Linked DNA regions of Macaca fascicularis. The protein of the gene in region 1 purifies or fractionates together with the protein of each later gene. This does not show direct contact. Links are inferred from orthologs where the notes say so. Each region holds a gene or a part of one and is shown on either strand. Other genes may lie near its edges.

Evidence for each region.
Region 2: the proteins of EHMT2 (region 1) and MIER1 purify together in Homo sapiens (co-immunoprecipitation; 3 studies listed by BioGRID and IntAct, with this or other methods). This does not show direct contact. The link is inferred for Macaca fascicularis from reciprocal best matches to the Homo sapiens genes EHMT2 and MIER1.

The regions. Positions count from the first base shown.
Region 1 is NC_088378.1:139,818,604-139,830,185, forward strand, and holds part of EHMT2 (histone-lysine N-methyltransferase EHMT2), read left to right. Parts: intron 1-2,953; coding exon 2,954-3,088; intron 3,089-3,213; coding exon 3,214-3,328; intron 3,329-3,487; coding exon 3,488-3,589; intron 3,590-3,808; coding exon 3,809-3,957; intron 3,958-4,049; coding exon 4,050-4,193; intron 4,194-4,279; coding exon 4,280-4,515; intron 4,516-4,594; coding exon 4,595-4,777; intron 4,778-4,896; coding exon 4,897-4,979; intron 4,980-5,453; coding exon 5,454-5,560; intron 5,561-5,657; coding exon 5,658-5,780; intron 5,781-5,870; coding exon 5,871-5,972; intron 5,973-6,795; exon of another isoform or gene 6,796-7,053; intron 7,054-7,175; exon of another isoform or gene 7,176-7,296; coding exon 7,297-7,422; intron 7,423-7,513; coding exon 7,514-7,668; intron 7,669-7,753; coding exon 7,754-7,921; intron 7,922-8,359; coding exon 8,360-8,504; intron 8,505-8,876; coding exon 8,877-8,954; intron 8,955-9,315; coding exon 9,316-9,431; intron 9,432-9,539; coding exon 9,540-9,626; intron 9,627-11,535; and 1 more. UniProt on the Homo sapiens protein: Histone methyltransferase that specifically mono- and dimethylates 'Lys-9' of histone H3 (H3K9me1 and H3K9me2, respectively) in euchromatin.
Region 2 is NC_088375.1:167,723,778-167,735,359, reverse strand, and holds part of MIER1 (mesoderm induction early response protein 1), read left to right. Parts: intron 1-7,924; coding exon 7,925-8,086; intron 8,087-9,025; coding exon 9,026-9,158; intron 9,159-9,852; coding exon 9,853-9,917; intron 9,918-11,582. UniProt on the Homo sapiens protein: Transcriptional repressor regulating the expression of a number of genes including SP1 target genes. Probably functions through recruitment of HDAC1 a histone deacetylase involved in chromatin silencing.

The DNA.
Region 1 (11,582 bases):
AGGGGGAGACAGAGTCTTGCTCTGTCTCCCAGGCTGGAGTGCAATATCACAATCTGGGCTCACTGCAACCTCTGCCTCCAGGGTTAAAGCAATTCTCCTGCCTCAGCCTCCCAAGTCGCTGGGATTACAGGCGCCCACCACCACGCCCGGATAATTTTTGTATTTTTAGTAGAGACGGGGTTTCCCCTTGTGGGCCAGGCTGGTCTCTAACTCCTGACTTTAGTTGATCCACCCATCTCGGCCTCCCAAAGGGTTGGGATTACAGGCGTGAGCCACCGCACCCAACTGCAACTCATTTTCAATGTACGCTCTGCCCATTTCATCCACAAAGGTGGCCACCACCCTGCACATTGGATTTACGATTTTTTTTTTATCAGCTAATGAAATGATCATTAAACAAACATGTACTGTTTAAAAAAAGAAAACAAAAAAGGAAATGACCAGAGAGCACTTTTTTTAAACATACATTATACTGTTTATATAAAATTCAAAAGCATTCCATTGTCATTTATTTGCTTATTCGTTGCTCTTTGTCTGGTTTTATCTTATGTTTGCCTACACAGTAGAATGTTTAGTCTGTCTAGTTTTGCCTTTTATTTAACGTTTTATCATGAAAACTTGCAAGCATTATCAAAAGAGTAGAATAGGAAATCCCCGTGTACCCATCACACAGCTCCAGCCATTATCAGTACACAGCCCATCTTGACCCATCTGTACTTCTCCCAACACACACACGTACTAGGTTATTTTAAAGCAAGTCCCAGACCTTGTATCATTTTACGTAAATGTATTTCCATATATATATATAAAAATATAAGGCCTCTTTTTGTCGTTCAACATCACTACACTACTGTTTTCACACCTAAAAAAAATTACTGATTTCTTTTTTTTTTTTTTTTTTTTTTTTTGAGACGGAGTCTTGCTCTGTTGCCCAGGCTGGAGTGCAGGGGCCGGATCTCAGCTCACTGCAAGCTCCGCCTCCCGGGTTCAAGCCATTCTCCTGCCTCAGCCTCCCGAGTAGCTGGGACTACAGGCGCCTGCCACCTCGCCCGGCTAGTTTTTTGTATTTTTTAGTAGAGACGGGGTTTCACCGTTTTAGCCAGGATGGTCTCGATCTCCTGACCTCGTCATCTGCCCGTCTCGGCCTCCCAAAGTGCTGGGATTACAGGCTTGAGCCACCGCGCCTGGCCTACTGATTTCTTAATACCATCAAATATCCTGTCAGTCTTCACATTTCCTCAGCTCTCATAAATGGGTTTTTGTCAAGATCCAAATGAGGCCCGCACCTTGATTTGATTAACATTTGTCTTAGGTCGGCCGGGCGTGGTGACTCACGCCTGTAATCCCAGCACTTTGGGAGGCCGAGGCGGGCGGATCACATGAGGTCAGGAGTTCGAGACCAGCCTGACCAACATGGAGAAACCCCGTCTCTACTAAAAAAATACAAAATTAGCTGGGCGTGGTGGTGCATGCCTGTAATCCCAGCTACTCAGGAGGCTGAGGCAGGAGAATCACTTGAACCTGGAAGGCGGAGGTTGCAGTGAGCCAAGATCGTGCCATTGCACTCCAGCCTGGGCAACAAGAGCAAAATACCATCTCAAAAAAAAAAAAAATTTGTCTTAGGTCTCTCTTGGTATTTAGGTTTCCCCATCTTCTTTTTGTTTGTTTGTTTGTTTGTTTGTTTTTGTGTTTTGAGATGGAGTCTCACACTGTGGCCCAGGCTGGAGTGCAGTGGCACGATCTTGGCTCACTGCAAGCTCCGCCTCCTGAGTTCAAGCAATTCTCCTGTCTCAGTCTCCCAAGTAGCTGGAATTATAGGCACCCGCCACCACACCCAGCTCATTTTTCGTATTTTTAGTAGAGACAGGATTTCACTATGTTGGCCAGGCTGGTCTCAAACTCCTGATCTTGTGATCTGCCCACCTCAGCCTCCCAAAGCACTGGAATTACAAGCATGAGCCACCACACCTGCCTGGTTTCCCCATCTTCTAAAAAAAAAATTTCTGGCCAGGCGTGGTGGCTCACGCTTGTAATCCCAGCACTTTGGGAGGCAGGTGGGTCACCTGAGGTCAGGAGACCAGCCTGGCCAACATGGTGAAAACCCATCCCTAATAAAAATACAAAACTTAGCTGGGTGTGGTCGCAGGCACCTGTAATCCCAGCTACTTGGGAGGCTGAGGCAGGAGAATTGCTTGAACCCAGAGGTGGAGGTTGCAGTGAGCTGAGATCACACTATTGCACTGCAGCCTGGGCAACAAGAGCGAAACTCAATAAATAAATAAGAAAGACATTTTTTTCTTGCCATTTATTTGTCAAACCAGGTCAGTTGTATAGAATTTTTCACATTCTGTATGACGTTGGCTGTTTGGGTAGAGATTGACACATCCTCTCTGCCCATATTTCTTGTAAACTGGTAGATCTAGAGGCGTAATCGACTTCAGGTGCCAAGAAGACTTGACAGTGGGTGCAAGTGCTTCTGGCCACATCACATCAGGATGCATGGAACATCTCATATGGTCATTTTTCTTAGTGATAAGATTGACCAGTGGGTTCAGGTGATGGCAGCCTGAACATTTCATATAAAATTTCTCATGAGCTTCATGTCTAGTGTTTTTAGCAACCATTGGTGGTCTTGCCTGTTTATGAACATCATAAAAGGGGGATCAAACTATGTTTATCTTCTGGTACTTGTTTTTTGTTTTTTAATTTAATGTCACATTACCAAGATCTGTGTACATTGCTGTCTATAACTGTGGCACCTTTTTCACTACTGTGTAATAGTCCATGCACCCTCTCTTTATGTGGCCCTTTTTCTCCTCTCCTACCCACACTCATCTTCCCCAGCAGCCATCTGTGGGTAGTGGCGGGGGGCAATGGTGGTGGTGGTTTTTTTAATCTATCTCATTGTCTGAGTCCTGGGGATTGGATATGTCCTGTTCTGCCTCTCTCCCAGTCTGAAGTTGAAGCTCTAACTGAACAACTAAGTGAAGAGGAGGAGGAAGAAGAGGAGGAAGAAGAAGAGGAGGAAGAGGAGGAGGAAGAGGAAGAAGAAGAGGAAGATGAGGAGTCAGGGAATCAGTCAGATAGGGTAAGAGACGGAGGCTGATATCTCCAGAGGAGTGGGAGACTGTGGGGCTGGTGGTCTGGTCCTGAAGGTGTTGGGGGGCCCCCTTGGGGTGAGGGTTCGTAACTCCTCCTCCTCCCCCTTCCCAGAGTGGTTCCAGTGGCCGGCGCAAGGCCAAGAAGAAGTGGCGAAAAGACAGCCCATGGGTGAAGCCATCTCGGAAACGGCGCAAGCGGGAGCCTCCGCGGGCCAAGGAGCCACGAGGTAAGGAGGCTCTGCTGCTTTTGGGTGCCCTCCTCCAGCCCCCGCCCAGCCCCCAGAGTGTGTGCACGCACACACACGCTCTCGCATGTCCACCTGCATGTACCCACGCGTCCAGGCACCTGTGAGCTCGCACTCTCACTCTCTCTGTCTCTGTGTCAGGAGTGAATGGTGTGGGCTCCTCAGGCCCCAGTGAGTACATGGAGGTCCCTCTGGGGTCCCTGGAGCTGCCCAGCGAGGGGACCCTCTCCCCCAACCACGCTGGTAATTGCCAATTGCCGGGACAGGGAGCCACTAGGGGGCAACCTCAGGGCAGGAGGGAAAGGGAAGGAGGGGAACCACGCCAGAGCCGGGGTGTCCATGGCCAGGCTTTAGGGGTTCTGGGGCATGGGGGTGAGGTAGGGAGGGAGTGACAGGACCCGCCAGGGGTCCCAATGGGTGAAGTTCAGGGCCTCCCTCAGCTCCTCTTTTTCTCCGTCCAAGGGGTGTCCAATGACACATCTTCGCTGGAGACAGAGCGAGGGTTTGAGGAGTTGCCCCTGTGCAGCTGCCGCATGGAGGCACCCAAAATCGACCGTATCAGCGAGAGGGCGGGGCACAAGTGCATGGCCACCGAGAGTGTGGACGGAGAGGTGGGGCCGTGGGCTGGTGGGAGAGGTGCCAGGGCGTCCAGTCCCGGGCCCCAGCCTCACCCTTTCTTCTCACCCATCCTCACCACGCACAGCTGTCAGGCTGCAATGCCGCCATCCTCAAGCGGGAGACCATGAGGCCATCCAGCCGCGTGGCCCTGATGGTGCTCTGTGAGACCCACCGCGCCCGCATGGTCAAACACCACTGCTGCCCGGGCTGCGGCTACTTCTGCACGGCGGTGAGTGACCAGTGGGGCAGACAGGTAGAATGCCCCATGGCAGACGGGGCCCCGGCAACCTGACCATGTCGTTTCCCTGCTCCCAGGGCACCTTCCTGGAATGCCACCCTGACTTCCGTGTGGCCCACCGCTTCCACAAGGCCTGTGTGTCTCAGCTGAATGGGATGGTCTTCTGTCCCCACTGTGGGGAGGATGCTTCTGAAGCTCAAGAAGTGACCATCCCCCGGGGTGATGGGGTGACCCCACCGGCTGGTGCTGCAGCTCCTGCACCCCCACCCCTGTCCCAGGATGCCCCCGGGAGAGCAGACACTTCTCAGCCCAGGTACTGGCCTCCCCCTTCTCTACTGTCTGTTCCCTGCCCCATCACTATTGTTCCTGGACATGAGCTCCTTCTTCCACAGCGCCCGGATGCGAGGGCATGGGGAGCCCCGGCGCCCACCCTGCGATCCCCTGGCTGACACCATCGACAGCTCAGGGCCCTCCCTGACCCTGCCCAATGGGGGCTGCCTTTCAGCCGTGGGGCTGCCACTGGGGCCAGGCCGGGAGGCCTTGGAAAAGGCCCTGGTCATCCAGGAGTCAGAGAGGTGAGTGGGGAGTTGTTCAGGCACAGTAACTGGGGCTGAGGCCAGAGGAGCAGTGTCAAGACTGATGCTGGAATCTGAGGAGCTCCCCTTCTCTCCCCACTCCCGTGCTCCCTTGGCAGGCGGAAGAAGCTCCGTTTCCACCCTCGGCAGTTGTACCTGTCCGTGAAGCAGGGCGAGCTGCAGAAGGTGATCCTGATGCTGTGTGAGTGCCACCTATTCCTTCAGCAGACCTTGACCAAGTTCCATGTATATACCAGGCACTGGGCACAGGGCCAGGAGTAGTCATGAAGGATATAGTCCTTGCCCTGAAGGACTTAGTGTGGTGGGGAAAAGACACACATAACCCGTGACGATGGGAACGGTGGTGACTCATAGGTGCTGGGTCCTGTTCTGAGTGCTTATACTTGTTAGCCTTGGCTTGCACAGGGAGGTTAGGGACGTTGCACAGTGCACAGCGGTACTGAGAAGCAAGGCAGGGTTTGAATTCAGGCAGAGCTGATGCCTTTGACTCCTTATTCTGATAAATGCCGTGGTGGAGGCAAGCCCAGAGAATGCCAGGAGGGGCCCTGACCCAACTTGGGGCTCTGAGAAGCCTTCCTGAAAGAAGTGCCACCTGCCCCCTAGCTTGCTTACCACTTGTCCCTCCCTCTCCCGGTGTGGCGGGCTCTCCCCGCAGTGGACAACCTGGACCCCAACTTCCAGAGCGACCAGCAGAGCAAGCGCACGCCCCTGCATGCAGCCGCCCAGAAGGGCTCCGTGGAGATCTGCCATGTGCTGCTGCAGGTCAGCACGGGCCCGGCCCCATGCCTCATTCACCAGGCCCTTAGGCCCCTCCCCTGCCCCATGCCTCCCTGGTGCCAGCCCTCCTGCCCCCTCACAGGCTGGAGCCAACATAAACGCAGTGGACAAACAGCAGCGGACGCCACTGATGGAGGCCGTGGTGAACAACCACCTGGAGGTGGCCCGTTACATGGTGCAGCGTGGTGGCTGTGTCTATAGCAAGGTGTGCATGCAGGCAGCAGGGCGTGGCCCCGGAGTCAGGGACCAGGTTTGGGGTGCCAGCCGGAGACTCATTTGCCCATGTCTCCCTCAGGAGGAGGACGGCTCCACCTGCCTCCACCACGCAGCCAAAATCGGGAACTTGGAGATGGTCAGTCTGCTGCTGAGCACAGGACAGGTGGACGTCAACGCCCAGGTCAGTGGCCCACCCAGCGCAGCTCCTCCGGCTCCCTGGTGCCTGGGTTCCTTGGCTCGGCCTCAGACTTTGGGCCCCCTTTCTACATCTGACCTCTGGCCCTTTCACTCTGCCTCAGGCCGCTTGTGTCTGTCCCCCTTGCTTTCTTCCTCATTTGTATTTCTCTTCATTCTTTTCTTTTTCTTGTTTCTTTCTCTTGATCAAGCTTCAGAATAATCAGTTCCTGCCTTCATCTCTGAAAGTGTCCAGTGAGGCTTTTTTAACTCTCAGGTTGTCATACATTGGATGTGTTTTCGTCATTTATTGGGATTCTTCTCAGTCTTTGAATTATTCCATCATTATCTAGGAGAAGCCCCTTCAAGAGGCCTCTGTGGCCGTGACATGACCCAGTGGCCTTTGAGAGCGTCCTGACCTTTCAGCACATTTCCTGCCCCTGACTCAGCATCCACCATTTCTCTAAGAAACTCTGCTTCCTTTATGGGAAACTTTTTTTTTCTTTTCTTTTTTTTTTTTTTTGAGATGGAGTCTTGCTCTGTTGCCCAGGCTGGAGTGCAATTGCGTGATCTTGGCTCACTGCAACCTCCACCTCCTGGGTTCAAGTGATTCTCTTGCCTCAGCCTCCTGAGTAGCTGGGATTATAGGCACCAGCCACCGTGCCCAGCTAATTTTTGTATTTTTAGTAGAGATGGATTTTCACCATATTGGCCAGGCTGATCTTGAACTCCTGACCTCATGATCCACCCACCTCGGCCTCCCAGCGTGCTGGGATTACAGGCGTGATCTGGCCACTGCGCCGGCCAGAAACATGTTTTAGAGAATAGTCTATGGACCTCGGAGTGTTTATTATTACTGGGTGGTCACTGCTTCTAGGACTTGTGAATGGGCAGACTGAGGAAATTTTTGTTTGTTTTTTGTTTTAAGAGACAGAGTCTTGCTGTGTCACCCAGGCTGAAGTACAGTAGCAATTCACAGACAGTCATAGTTCACTGCATTCTCGAAATCCTGGGCTCAAGCGACACTCCCATCTCAGTCACATGAGTAGCTGGGACTACAGGCACGCGCCTCCATGACCAGCTCCTGGCTGTATTTTTTGGAAAGAGAACAATTACTCACTTTACTTTCTCTCCGGCATCAGGCAGTAGGCACTACTAGTCCCATTTTTTAGATGAAGAAACTATGACCCAGAGACGTTAAGTGACTTACCCCGGGTCCCACAGCTCGTGAATGGTGGAGCTGGGATTCACACACACAGCCAATCTTGACCATTTGCAGCTTTGGTGAGCAGGCCCAGCCGCCCCCACCCTCACTCCCTTCCCACCCACAGGACAGTGGGGGGTGGACGCCCATCATCTGGGCTGCAGAGCACAAGCACATCGAGGTGATCCGCATGCTACTGACGCGGGGCGCCGACGTCACCCTCACTGACAACGTGAGTGAGAGTTTGGTTGAGGTAGGGCAGCCCCAGGCCCCTGAGCAAGGTGGAGGCTGGATTCAAGGGCCCAGCTGCCTGCACCTCATCTGTTCCCCTCCTATCTCCACAGGAGGAGAACATCTGCCTGCACTGGGCCTCCTTCACGGGCAGCGCCGCCATCGCCGAAGTCCTTCTGAATGCGCGCTGCGACCTCCATGCTGTCAACTACCATGGGGACACCCCCCTGCACATCGCAGCCCGGGAGAGCTACCATGACTGCGTGCTGTGAGCCCCTGCCCCGCCCTTGATGCCCCTGCCCCCACTTCTTGCAGCCTCAGACCCCACATTGGGCACCTTGTCCCCTCTTCAGGTTATTCCTGTCACGTGGGGCCAACCCTGAGCTGCGGAACAAGGAGGGGGACACAGCATGGGACCTGACTCCCGAGCGCTCCGACGTGTGGTTTGCGCTTCAGCTCAACCGCAAGCTCCGACTCGGGGTGGGAAATCGGGCCATCCGCACGGAGAAGATCATCTGCCGGTGAGCCCTGGGCCCCTCTCTGCACCCAAGGCCACCTCCCCACCCACCCTCCCCAGGCTCCGTTGCATCCTCACAACATTCCCCAACCCCTCCCCATGTACCACTGAATCCCCAGAACCACCCACAGGCCCCCTCCCCACTGGGGTTGCCAGATACAGCAAGTAAAAATAGAAGATATCCCGTTAAACTGGAATTTCAGATGCACAGATGCATACTTTTTTAGTGCGAGAATGTCCTGTGTAATTTTTGGGACATAGTGTACTAAAAAGCTATTTCTTGTTTATCAAAAATTCCACGTTAACTGGCTGTCCTGCATCTTACCTGCCAACCTTACTCCCCTGCCCCCAGCCCCAGGAACCTCCCCAACTGTCTCCCTGTACCTGGAGTAGCTCCTCACCCAGTTCCAGCCTGCCATCACCTTCTCCCCGTCTTCTGCAGGGACGTGGCTCGGGGCTATGAGAACGTGCCCATTCCCTGTGTCAATGGCGTGGACGGGGAGTCCTGCCCCGAGGATTACAAGTATATCTCAGAGAACTGTGAGACGTCCACCATGAACATTGACCGCAACATCACCCACCTGCAGGTGAGTACGGGGCCGGGGCCTCCCCAAAAGGACACCGAGAGCTGCCGAGTACAGTTAGACAAGCTTCAAACCAACAAAGGCACCTGGCCTAGGAAGGGTTGGCTGAAAGGGAGCCCTGGTGTGGGGTCGCATCCACCCCAGGGGAGGGAACCTTTTCCTGGGTCACAGAAAGGTGTCATATGAACTCCCAGTAGCCGTGGGGACATCACCATGAGCAACATACTGATTCCCCATCACCCTCGGACCATCGCCACCCACTGTTGTAACACATGGACCCCAAAGAGAGGACAGTGGTTAGGGGGTCGGGGCACCGAGAGTAGAGGAACCCAGACCTATCGTGGGGTTGAGCTGACCCCTGCCTCCTCGCCCCAGCACTGCACGTGTGTGGACGACTGCTCCAGCTCCAACTGCCTGTGCGGCCAGCTCAGCATCCGGTGCTGGTATGACAAGGTGCGTGCCCCTTGCCTTGGCCACAGACACCCGGCCCCTCCTTCAGAGGAGCCAGCCTCCAACAGGCCAGCTCCCTGGGACCTTGTCCTTCACCTACCCTGTGGGGGAAGTGACTGAGAGGACGGGGCAAGGCCTGGGAATCCTGGGACATGGCTGTGTGCCCAGGTCTATGCAAATCAGGGATGATGCTCCTGCATTTCCTGCTCTTGGATCTCAGAGCCTGTGTGACCTCCCCAACCCCATCTTCTCTGTCTCTGGGTTGGGTTCAGCAGTGGATTTTTCTGTAGAGTCTTGGGGTTCCTGGGCGGGCAGCTGAGGTGGCCCCCAAGGTGAAACCACTGTGTTCCCCTCCGCACCCTAGGATGGGCGATTGCTCCAGGAATTTAACAAGATTGAGCCCCCGCTGATTTTCGAGTGTAACCAGGCGTGCTCCTGCTGGAGAAACTGCAAGAACCGGGTCGTACAGAGTGGTATCAAGTGAGGCCCTGCTCCACAGCCCACCCTCTCCCCACCTCACCCTTTCCTCCCTGCCCCTGGGGCTTTTCCAGGGCCTCCACCCAACAGCGCCCTCTCTCCTACTCCCAGGGTGCGACTACAGCTCTACCGAACAGCCAAAATGGGCTGGGGGGTCCGCGCCCTGCAGACCATCCCACAGGGGACCTTCATCTGCGAGTAAGTCACCAGGAGCACCTTGACACCTGGTGGGAAGAAGATACATGGCCACTGCTGACTGCTAGGCCTCCCTCTCATCCCCCTGCCCTGAGGAGTCACATGTCTCCATCTGGCCACTCTCTAGCCAGCCTCCTCTGACCCCTATTCCTGCAGTTGAGCAGCCAGCCTCCTCTGACCCCCATCCCCGCAGCTGAGAATGGCACCTGCCTCCACTCTGCCCAGACCACAGGTCTTCCCTCCCTCCACCTCCACCCTCTACCTTCCCCTCTACCCCCTCCTCGCCCTTCCTAGCTGGAGAAAGTGCCAGTTTGGGAGACAAACAGACTTGGGTTTGAGCCCCTTTCTGCTTCTGGATGTCCTTGGCCAAGTTTCTCAACTTCTGTGAGCCTTATTTTTCTTGTCTGTAGAGTGGAGGTGGTAACAGCTACCTTTCTGTCCACCTCCTCAGGGGCCTGTCCCTTTCCATCAGTTAGCTGCCCAGCATCTGTAATCCCCCCCTTTCTCTTGGCTCCCATCTCATGACCCTCAGTCTTACCTTGGTCTCCTTTGGCCTTTATTTTTTATTTTATTTTATTTATTTATTTATTTTTTTTTTTATTTATTTTTTTTTTTTTGAGACGGAGTCTCACGCTGTTGCCCAGGCTGGAGTGCAATGGCGCGATCTCGGCTCACTGCAAGCTCCGCCTCCCGGGTTCCCGCCATTCTCCTGCCTCAGCCTCCTGAGTAGCTGGGACTACAGGCGCCCGCCACCGCGCCCGGCTAATTTTTTGTATTTTTAGTAGAGACGGGGTTTCACTGTGGTCTCGATCTCCTGACCTTGTGATCCGCCCGCCTCGGCCTCCCAAAGTGCTGGGATTACAGGCTTGAGCCACCGCGCCCGGCCTATTTTATTTATTTTTTGAGACGGAGTTTCACTCTTGTTGCCCAAGCTGGAGTGCAGTGGCACAATCTTGACTCACTGCAGTCTCCACCTCCCCAGTTTCCAGCGATTCTTCTGCCTCAGCCTCCCAAGTAGCTGGGATTACAGGCACGTGCCACCACACCTGGCTAATTTTTTGTATTTTTAGTAGAAACGGGGTTTCACCATGTTAGTCAGGCTGGTCTCGAACTCCTGACCTCAGATGGTCCGCCTGCCTCAGACTCCCAAAATGCTGGAATTACAGGCTTGAGCCACCACGCCCAACTGTCCTCTGGCCTTTAAAAAAGATAGTCCTCTAAGCATACTTGCCTGTTCAAGAGACCATCCAGTTTCTCTCCATCATGTCATCTCTCAACTTCTCTAGCAAGCAGCCCTTTCCTGCTGGGCCTCAGTTTCCCCACCATCCACTCACTGCCTGTCCCTGGCAAAACCGGCCTTTGCCCTCCTGCTCTGCTGAAGCTGTCTCTTGACAGTGACTCCCCGCCCCACGTCCTCTCCATGTGTCTTAATCTCCCAGTGTCTGCTCGCCCCTCCTTAGCTAGCTGGCTCCTCTCCTCCCTCTGGTGTCCAGATATGGGTGCTCTTGCCCTGACTCATGCCTTGAGTTCCTTGCCGCTCCTGTACCTCTGGCTCTTCCTGCAGTCCTGGCCCCTCTTCTGTCCCATATCGCCCATTCCTGCCGGGTGGCTCCTAGTACACAAACCTCTCTGTATCCAAACCTGAACATCCCCACCCAGGCCAACTGCCCCTACACACTAATCCCCTTAACCACAGAGCCTGTGATCTCTCTGTGCTGACTGAAGGCTTCCTCTGTTGAGGCTGGAATGCTGCCCTTTCACTTGCCCACCACTGCTACTCCAGGCCTTCCCTTCCCCACACCTGCCAGCCCTGCCTATTCCAGATTCCACAGGCTTGTGAGGAGAGATGGGGCCTAAGCTGCCTCCTAATAGCCCACACTCACCTTCAGAACCATGGATTCCTGTCCCACAGGTATGTCGGGGAGCTGATCTCTGATGCTGAGGCTGATGTGAGAGAGG
Region 2 (11,582 bases), on another chromosome or scaffold:
CAGAATCATTCTCATAGTAAATAGACTTTTGTTTTTTTGAGACAGAGTCTCACTCTGTTGCCTGGGCTGCAGTGCAGTGGCACGATCTCAGCTTACTGCAATCTCTGCCTCCTGGGTTCAAGCAATTCTCCTGCCTCAGTCTCTCGAGTAGCTAGGATTACAGGCGTGTGCTAATTTTTGTATTTTTAGTAGAGACAAGGTTTTACCATGTTGCCCAAGCTGGTCTCGAACTCCCGGCCTCAAGTGATCTGCCCATCTCAGCCTCCCAAAGTGCTGGGGTTACAGGCATGAGCTGTTGCACCTGGCCATAGATGGACTTTTGTTTGCTACAAATAGAAACACTCGCGTTTAACTCTGTTTTCCAAATGAACTCTTTAAAATCAGAGACTCTAAATGGGCACAATTGTGGCAGTCCATTTGGGAAAAGAAAGATCTAGATTGCAGTATCTTCATGTATTTAGATATATTTTATAAAAATCACACTATAACAGTATCAGTACTTAATATATACTTTTAAAGTACCAGATGTGTTCCATCCAGTGAATCTCCAGAGCTAGAGAATAATTAAAATGTGAGATTAAAATGTGAGAGATTGAAGTATACACACATTATATAGATAGAAAAGAAATCTCAGTGTGAGGATTATAAAGAAGAGTTCACTGCCTTCATTCCTATATGGTTGTATGTTCTAGTCAAGCCCCAGCCCCAAGAGGTTGGTTACCTTAGGAACCATCTCTCTAGTTCAGTCTGGATGTGGTCCCTTAGGCCTTTTTGGCTGGAAATCAGCCTCTTCTTCCTATCTTCATTAGCATTTTATTGGTAAGTCAGTTTTGGTACAACAGGTGTAAGAAGAGTACTATCTCCATCCATCAAATGGCCCTGACTTGAAGGTCAGCATCTGCCATTTCTTAATGACTAACCTCCTGATGTGAGGGAGAAGGAGCTAGGAACTAGCACCTCTTCTGCAGCTAGGAGTTGGATGCCACTCCAACCTTATAATATGTTGGTGTTTGATAACTTTACCCTATTGTCTTGAAATTAGAGCAGACTTAACTTGAGATATAGTATATGGTGTTTATCCTTTTTGATACAGGGTCTTACTCTGTCACCCTCCCAGGCTCATGCGATCCACCTGCCTCACCACCTGCATAGCTGAGACTGTAGGCACACTACTATGCCCGGCTAATTTTTTATTTTTTGTAGAGATGGGTTCTTGCTCTGTTGCCCAGGCTGGTCTTGAACTCCTGTGTGCAAGCAGTCCTCCCACTTTGGCCTCCCAAAGTGCTGGGATTATAGGCGTGAGCCACCGAGCCTGGTCAGTTTATCTTTTAAAAATTCAATTTCTCCCACCTTCAGCCAGCCTTCCTTTAGCTTATGCAGACATGATTGCCCCTCCTTTTGTTACAGTGTAAAACAACTCATTTCTTAAAGTACAATCTGCAAATACAGTGTGTATTCCTGTTTTTGTTTTTTTTTTTAATTTAATTTTTTAGAGACAGGGTGTCGTTCTGTCATGCTGGCTGGAGTGCAGTGGTGCAGTCATAACTCAAGCACCCTCAAACTCCTGGGTTCATGCCTTCCTCTCGCTTCAGCCTCCTGAGTAGTTAGGACTGCAAGTGCATGCCACTGTGCCTGGCTACATTCCAGTATTTTTATTTATCATGTACTATGCTCACTTTCCTTATTTCTCACAGATTATCAGCCCTCTTAGTTCACATTATAACAGGATGCTGTATATTTAACCTGATGTTAGATTTTGAAGAAGGCAGTATATACGCATATGTACAGAAGGGCAGTGTAAAGCAGTGAGTTAAACTGCCCAGGTTCGCAATCCAGCTCTACTTCTTATTTCAGTTTGTGACTTAGGATAGGTTACTTAAGATTGTTAAACTTCAGATGTTATTACAAGAATAATATATCTAAAGCACTTAACATAATATTTGGCACATAATAAACACAAAATAAATCTTAGTAGTTAATGTCATTCATAAGATTCAAAAAAGTCCCTGACCTATAACTGAAAATTTACAACTTTACACATAATTTTCTCTTACACTCTGTTCTCCCCTTTTTATACTCTTTTAACACTTACGTGAATGGGATTAAAACACTGTGCCACTTTATTGTGATGTTTCAATTTAAATTGAAGTAAGCCCTTGAGTAACTGGTAGAATGTAGCCTTTGGTAATATAAACTAATGAGAAATTCTCTGGAACAGGCGGCTGACAGGCCCTGGTATAATAGTGTACTACTTTTGGCCAAGTTTTATTCATCCTTAAGTCTTTTTTTCAGAGGGAAATAACAGAATATTTGTGTTACACCATATCATTACTGTTTATAGCATCGGAATTTGGGGGTGCAGAGACAGAAATCTGTCTGTAACTAGATTACACACAGTCTAACCTCAAACTAGGTTAGACAAAATGAAGAATTTCATGTAAGTCTCATGGAATTTCATTAAAGGAGGGATATATCTGCTCCCCAGGGACTCAAGTGCCACCAGAATTTATTTTCTCTATTTCTGCTTGTCTACATGGTTTACCTCTTTTTGTTTTTGAGACAGTGTCTCACTTTGTCACTCAGGCTGGAGTGCAGCAGTGCAGTCTTGGCTCACTGCAGCCTCGGCTCACTGCAGCCTCGACCTCCCTGGATGAAGCCATCCTCCTGCCTCAGCCCCCCTAGTAGCTGGGACTATGAGCATGCACCACCACACCCAGCTAATTCTTGTTGTATTTTTTGTAGGGACAGTGTTTCGCCATGTTGCCCAGTCTGGTCTCGAACTCCTGAGCTCAAGTGATCTGCCTACCTTGGCCTCCCAAAGTGCTAAGATTACAGGCGTGAGCCACCACGTCCCACCTGACTCACCTGACTTCTCTTTTCAGACCAACTTTCTTCATATGATGCTGTCAGTTTGTAGGTCTCCCACATTTACTTCTTGAGATAGTCTGTGCTTCTTTCTTAAGTTGCTGTTGATAAAAATCCAGAAACAAAGTATGGACAAGCGTGGGTCATGTGCCCACTCCAAATATATGGCCAGAGAATACAGTGATTCCAATTATGTCAGCTGCTGTGGTCCAGGAGGTGAACTTTCAAGGAAAATAAATGTTTGGAATGGAAGAAAGAACATTTCAAAGTACAGAAGTAGAAGAGAGTAGGAGAGGCTTGCAGGGGAAATAAATAATCCTTATGTGATGCTTGTTTATGCTTGCTAAATCTTTAAGTACTTCAGTTAGCACAAAGCAGGAACACAAATACATGCTATTGCAATTTGAAACAGGATTCCTCAGCAAAATTGATTCTGGTTTTTATCGTAGGTGTAGCCCAGAGTTTGCTGCAAGATTTTCACTTTTACCTTAGATTAAATAAGAGACTTTTTATGCTGTCATGCTTCAAGTTGTATTTTTGGTGGTGATGATTTTTTCTTTGTTGCTTACTAAACTGATATTACTCACCTGATATTGGGTGACAGCTGAGTTACAAGTTTAATACTATTAAGTAAGCATTTTTTTTTCTTTTTTTTTTAAATTTTCTTGAGACAGGGTCTTACTCTGTCGCCCAGGCTGGAGTGCAGTGACACAGTCTCGGCTCACTGCAGCCTCTGCCTCCTGGGTTCAAGCAGTTGCCTCAGCCTCCTGAGTAGCTGGGATTACATGCCAGCACCACCATGCCTGGCTAGTTTTTGTATTTTTAATAGAGGTGGGGTTCCACCATGTTGGCCAGTCCAGTCTTGAACTCTTGACCTCAAGTGATCTGCCCCCTCGGTCTCCCAAAGTACTGCGATTACGGGTGTGAGCCACTGCGCCCAGCATAAGTAAGCATTTTGTTGATTGAGTAAGTAAGGATATTTTGTTTACATTTGATAAAACCCATCTAAAAATAACCTTGTGTAAAAATAAACTATTAGAAGGTATATGAATGTGTAGTTGGGTACAAGGAATATATGGAACCAGGGATTCAGCATCACCAGGACCTCCATCTCTCCTAATCCCTGGTTGAATCCTGTTTCGTCTCTTAAATTTTTTCTTTTCCACAACCACTAATTTCATTTAGTTTCTGATCATAATACAGGTGAATGTGTAGTGAATGATAGCAGTGGATTCCCACTTGGCTCAGTCTACTTGGCAAGCAAACTAAATCTTCCCCTGCCTAAGTTCATGTTGAGTGTTTTATTGTGTGTGTAATTTCCCCTAAATACTTCCATAGTGTTAGTAACCATTCAGTATGCTCAAATTGAGTCAGGAATATAACAGATCCCTTTAAAAATTACATAGAACTAGAGAAAGTAGTTAAAAATAGTAATCCTCACTTTCATTAATCTGTAACTGATCTTTCAGTAATGTGTAGCCTTCTGAAATGATACTTTTTTTTTTTTTAGTTACTATAAATGGTATGTCTGCTCTAATCAGGGTGACTGGATTATTCATTTTTGTTTCTGTACCTGTGCATTTGTCATTTGCTGTGACTTGAATGATTTTTCTCCATCTGTGCCAGTTCTATTACGATTGTAATTCAAGCATTCCCCCTCTAAATGCACTGTGATCAGGCCACTTTTGACTCTCTGTTCTCTGCTTAGTCAATATTGGAGGTGTTGGAGAATTTTTCTTTGAGAAATGAATTTTTTTCTTTTTCCTTTTTCCTTTTTTTTTCTTGAGACAGTCTCACTCTGTCACCCAGGCTGGAGTGCAGTGGCATGATCTCATCTCACTGCAACCTCTGCTTCCTGGGTTCAAGCAATTATCCTGCCTCAGCCTCCTGAGTAGCTGAGAGTACAGGTGTGCACCACCATGCCTGTGGCTGATTGTTTTGTATTTTTAGTGGAGTTGGGGTTTTGCCTTGTTGACCAGGCTGGTCTTGAACTCCTGACCTTAAGTGTTCTGCCAACCTCAGCCTCCCAAAGTGCTGGGATTACAGGCGTGAGACACTGCGCTTGGCCTGAGAAATGAATTTTTATAAAGTGAGTCACACTTCTCATCTGTATATCCAAGAGGGAAAAACCTTAATCTAACTATGATTGTCAGACATTCTACATTCTTGATAATGGTTAAAAAAGAAAAATTTTTTCTCCATGTAGTTAGTATGTCACCTATCCTTTTGACAAATATTTGAGCTGGATATCATGTCATATGATAAGCTTTATTAAAGTTAATGTTCAAGCTTTATTACCTCCCATTGGATAAGGTGATTTGCAGGTATCTCATCCAGACCTGTGAGATTGGTGGTTTCCAAGGTGGTCTCATACCAGCAGCATTAGCATCACCTGAGATTTTTTTTTTTTCTTTTTTTAATTGTAGGTTCTCAGGCGTCACTGGAGACTTACTAGGTCAGAAACTTGGGTGAGGCTCAGCAGCCCGTTTTAGTAAACCCTCAAGGTAATTCGGATGCCCTTAAGACAGACCAATGGTAGAGAGCCTGAGGGCATTTATTTGGTTGATTATACACCTCTTTTTTTGGAGTGAACCAAGTACCATGATCTTGTCAGAAGATGAGTTCAAAATAGAGCACGGCTGTGTAATTAGCTGTGTGGTTTCAAAGGATTAGTTATAACACAGTTATAAAAATTAAAGGTAGTAGTAACAGGATAGTTTTGAGGATCAAATAATGAAACAAGTTTTTCATGAACTCTTAAGGCCTATGTAAATTTTAGTTGCAAACTGTTACGCTTATGTTTTATCTTTTTGGGGCCCTTATTCATACTAGTGACTTCAGTGGCTTTTCTTCACAATAGTGATCAGTTGCTAAACTTGCTTCTGATTTTGGGGTGCAGGGTGTGAGCCTAAGCAAAGTTAAATGACCTGAGATTAGGAGGTCTGGGTATTATAATAAAGTCTCTATCAGTGCAGATTTAATGGAATTGTGTGTTTTGACACTGCTTTCATTGTTGCAAGAAAAAAAGACAATGAAATCAAAGCACCTATCACAAATGCCTGACACATAGAAGACACTTTATGGCAGCTATTTTTTATTCTTGTGTATAAAACTAGCTTTATGCTGGGCACGGTGGCTCACGTTTCCAATCCTACATTTTGGGAAGCCAAGGTGGGCAAATCGCTTGCACCCAAGTGTTTGAGACCAGCCTGGGCAACATAGTGAAACCCTTCTCTATGAAAAATACAAAAATTAACCAGGCATGGTGGTGCACATGTATAGTCCCAGCTACTTGGGAGGCTGAGGTGGGAGGATCATTTGAACCCAGTGGGTTGAGGCTGCAGTGAGCCATGATCATGCCACTGCACTCCAGCCTGGGTGACAGAGCAAGATTCTGTCTCAAAAAAATAAATCTAGCCTTTTCATTACATTTCTCTTATTACACTTCTGTCTCTTATTTCGAAGTTTTGTTTTAGTTCCTAAGGACTGACTTCCCACATTCCCAAATAACCAATGTCCTGTACCAGATCCTTGGTACATGGACCAGATACTTGAACACTTAAAGCACTGTTGGTGTTGTACTTTGAGAAACACAGTATAAGAGCTATCAGTTGTTTGCCAGCGGCTTATTTAGCTAGAGTGGCAATATCTTGCCTTGATAAAGTTACCACTTTTTCAGGTTGTAGCTTCTGCAAATCATTAGGGGTCTTGGAATTGATTTATCTTTCAGAAATAGATTCACAAACATTCATAACCAGAATATCCATTTGTAATGTGAGATAGAAGTTTTGGATGATGCCTTCTTCCTAGTTCTTCATAAGAAAATCTTTTCAAATTATAATCATTAATTTTTTCTCACATGGATTTTGAGTGATGGAGGTTAATTGTGTCATCTAATCCAGTCTGATTTACCCATACCCATTGTAGCAATGTGTTTAACACACTAGCTAGACTTATTTCTTTCTTTCCATGACTGCTGGAGAAATATGAACCATGTCTTATTCATGATTACCCTTTTTTTCTAGCTTCTAAACTGATGATTTTTTGAGTGTTTTGCTTCAGACCATGTGCATTGTATGTGGGTGTGCATGAGTGTATAATGTGTTCACATGATTTGGATTAAATTTTCTTTTTATAATCAGAATTCTGTTAACGTTTCCCTGATGCTGTGCATTTCTTGTTTTCTTGTTTACTGGTTAGAGTGAGTAGTTTGTATAGAAAGCTGATCTCATTTCATTGCATATGGACATTTCTTTTGCATCCACAGAGGGTCTGATTTTTGTGGGGATTGAGGGAAGTCCCTGGCCAAGGCACCGTGGTGTATTGATATGAATATGGGCTTTTGGAGTTAGACTGTTTAAATCTGGCTCTACTCCTTGTAACTTGTGTGATTTCTGAAGAAATGCTTAAGCTGTCAGCCTATGTTTTCTCATCTATGAAATGGAAATAATATAACAAGTCGGTATGATAGATGGTAAGGATTGCATGAGATAATTTTATGTGTAAATGGAGATAACCATAGAAAAGAATATATGGTTAATGTAGTCCATTATCATTTCTGTATATTACTACTGGTTTTTGTTTTGTTTTGTTTTGTTTTTTCATGTGTTCGGGCTGAGCTCTGGATGCTCTGAATTTCATCTGCCTTTCTGGGTTTGTTAACTTAACTTATAGTCTAATTCTCGTTGTTCTATTTCTCCACCCTCAAGTATGGTACTCTTATTAAGAGTGGGCATCCATGCATAGCGTTAACTGTCATTGTGCATATATTGAATTGATTGCAAAAAGAATAGTCCATGTTAGACCAAGGCTACTTTTTAATTATACTTAAAAATCTTGTCAGCAATTGGAATTGGTTAATTTTATAGAAATACTAAAAAGATTGGGATATTCATGGGTTTCAGAAATATTTTCAATTTTACTTTTTTATGATCTGAGAATTCATGATACAGCTTTTATTCTTCAGTATAGAATGAATACTCCACAGATTTGTGGATTATAGCCTGGGAATCAGAAATATCACTGATTCAGAAATTAACTTTTATTTTTATTTATTTAGGAAGGTGACATGCCAATTCATGAACTTCTCAGCCTTTATGGTTATGGTAGTACTGTTCGACTACCTGAAGAAGATGAGGAAGAGGAGGAAGAGGAAGAAGAAGGTGAAGATGATGAAGATGCTGATAATGATGACAACAGTGGCTGTAGTGGGGAAAATAAAGTAAGTGTACATACATATATTTAAGATTGTAGTCTTTATTCTTGTTGAAGTTAAAATTTCTTAATACATTTTGATTACTTGTTTTTATAATCTTTACTTTTCCTGATTTTAAAAGTGTTAAACATTAAGATATTACAGAAATACATAACATAAAAATTGGAAATCCCCTGTAATCTGCTCCTGAGAGGTAACAGTTTGGTCTTCTCGTTTCAGGTTTCTTTTTTTTCCAGTGCTTATTCTAATTTATTTATACCAACTTTCTTTTTTTGTTTGTGTGGTTTTTTTGGAGATGGAGTCTCACTCTGTCACCCAGGCTGGAGTGCAGTGGCGCTATCTTGGCTCACTGCAAGCTCTGCCTCCCAGGTTCACGCCATTCTCCTGCCTCAGCCTCCCAAGTAGCTGGGACTACAGGCGCCCACCACTACGCCTGGCTAAGTTTTTGTATTTTTAGTAGAGACAAGGTTTCACCACGTTAGCCAGGATGGTCTCGATCTCCTGACCTCATGAACCGCCTTGGCCTCCCAAAGTGCTGGGATTACAGGCGTGAGCCACCACACCTGGCCATTTATACCAACTTTCAAAAAAATGCTATTGCTTTTAAATAATGAAGGCTAATTGGCAGTTTGTGTTTATTTTTCTTTATTTTGAAATAATTTTAGATTTATAAAACTTTTAAAGTTAGTATAGAAAGTTCCTATATGATCCGCTTCTGCTGAGGTTAACATCTTGGTACGGTGCTAGTAACTGCAGATTGAATTATACCAGTTTTTCTGCTAATGTACTTTTTCCTGTTGCAGGATCCAACCCAGAATACGATATTACATCTAGTATATTCATTTTAGTCTTCTGCTTATATTAGAACAACATTTATATGCTATGGCCTTTCATCTGCAACCATTTTCTTTACATCTTAAAGAAATTAAATTTATTATTCCTCAGGAGGAGAATATAAAGGATTCATCAGGTCAGGAGGATGAAACTCAGTCTTCCAATGATGATCCATCACAATCTGTTGCTTCTCAAGATGCCCAGGAAATTATCCGCCCACGTCGATGTAAATATTTTGATACAAGTAAGTGTTACTGGTTGATAATATTTGAATATAATTTTTACTATTTTAGGTATTACCTAAAATCCTCATTTTTTAAACTGGTCTTTAAATTCATTTAGTCTGAAATTCTTTTCAACAGTAAATGGATTTTTATTGTAAGTTATTAGTTTAGTAATGCACGGTCCCTGTTGTTAGTGAATATACTACGGTAATTGTGTCATGTACTGCTTGACTTCAGTTGTATTTGTTTTTTCCTTGCCCTGTTTTTAAATGTTTGTTTCATGGTCTTTTTATTTCTCATAGGCTTTCCCTTAGTTTCCATGTTTTACTTTCTTTGCCTCTTAGCCTTTTTTAGGTATATTGATAAATACACCTAAATTTCTCTAGTTTAAAAAGAAGAAAAACACTTGAAGAAAAATAAACTGTCATGAAATATGTAGTAAGGTAATATTATCTTTATTCTAAATCTGTTTTTTCCCAAAAGTTTTTATAGGAAATCATTTCATGAGAATACAGTTACGTAGAAAGTTAATGGTTTTTTTGGTTTTGTTTTTTTAAGTGATAGGGTGTTAATTATTTGGTTAGAAATATCTTGGCTTAATTCATTAGATATTTTTGAGCATATCCAAATATTTGATGGTAGATGTAAAAATAATTTGTAGATGTAGACAGCTTAAGCAGTCATTTTATAGTATTGGTGTCTTATTTATTCTAGACAGTGAAGTAGAAGAAGAATCTGAAGAAGATGAAGATTACATTCCATCAGAAGACTGGAAAAAGGTAGTTAGAACAATATTTTCCCAAAATTTAGATAAATTAATATTTTTTTAAAAGCCTAGTGTAATTATTTTTTACTAACTATGTATATTGATAAAATCGATGTAAGCCCTTTTATGACATTTAAATGTTTGGTAAATGTTCAGATTCCTTAACACATCTAGGTTAGAGATATATTTATCTTTTTATAAAATAAAATGAATTTAAAGGATTGGATTTTGTTGAGGAAGTTGGCACTCAAAATAAGATTAGAAATCTACATTTCTGGCCGGGTGTGGTGGCTCACGCCTGTAATCCCAGCACTTTGGGAGGCTGAGGCAGGCAGATCGCTTGAGCCCAGGAGTTTGAGACCAGCCTGGGCAGCATTGCGGGACCCTGTCTCTTTTTTTTTTTTGAGACGGAGTCTCGCTCTGTCACCCAGGCTGAAGTGCAGTGGCCGGATCTCAGCTCACTGCAAGCTCTGCCTCCCGGGTTTATGCCATTCTCCTGCCTCAGCCTCCCGAGTAGCTGGGACTATGGGCGCCCGCCACCACTCCCGGCTAGTTTTTTGTGTTTTTTTAGTAGAGACGGGGTTTCACCATGTTAGCCAGGATGGCCTCCATGTCCTGCCCTCGTGATCTGCTTGTCTCAGCCTCCCAAAGTGGTGGGATTACAGGCTTGAGCCACCATGCCTGGCCCCCTGTCTCATTTTATAAAACAAAACAAAAAATAAAACAAAAATCCACATTTCTGATTTAGTCCTGAAGTAGTGCTGAATTAGGCATTTGTTGCCCTGTAAAAAGTATCATATATATATTTTTCAATATTATGGAAAGCAATTGTGGAGGCTTTGATATTTGTTAAGTAAATTTTGTTTAGTAGTTTGTAAGTTTTTCATTCTGTATTACTTTATAAAAGGAAAACTCTCCAAATGATTGGATTTAATGTTGACATTTATAACTGGTAAGCTTATTGTGTGAAGAAACAGATTTGGCTTCTTCATAACTATATACAACTTAATTTCTGAAATGAATTTAAAGATAATATATTGAGATTAGTTTTTAATTATAAAATATATAGCATATAATTAATCATACAGTTAAGTTAAAGAATTTTAAGTTATTGTAAAAGAACTGAGCTCTTAGGAAAATCTGTCAAAATGTTATGTAGAATTAGCTGGTTGCAATGATGTTTTCCTTTGTTGTCCCAGCTTGGGAGGCTGAGGTAGGCGGAATCACTTCAGCCCAGGAGTTTGAGACCCGGCTGGGCAACCTAGTGAGACCCCATGTCTTCAAAAAAATTTTTTATGTAGAACTGGTTAAAACAAATCATTTATATAAAAGAAATAATGTTATTTTTGTTGAGAGACAAGATTAGCCCAGTGTGCGGTATGTGTTAATTTGAGCAAATGATGGAACTCAAGACAGAAAACAAGAATCACAAAAGTTTATTTGTGTGGCCCATTTGGGCAATGGTTCTTTCATCCTGTTTTTAATCTGATTCCTGCAGTAAGCAGAAATTAAGATGAAAAAAGCTAGAAACCATGGGAGTCCTTTTAAATTGCTGTCCCACTACATATTCAAGTTTATGTATCTTCAACATATGTTGTTTTTTTAATCTGGAGTGTTCAGTAGAGTATTTGATTAAGCATTCAGTGCTTTTTTTTAAATGCAAGAACAAAAGCTAAGA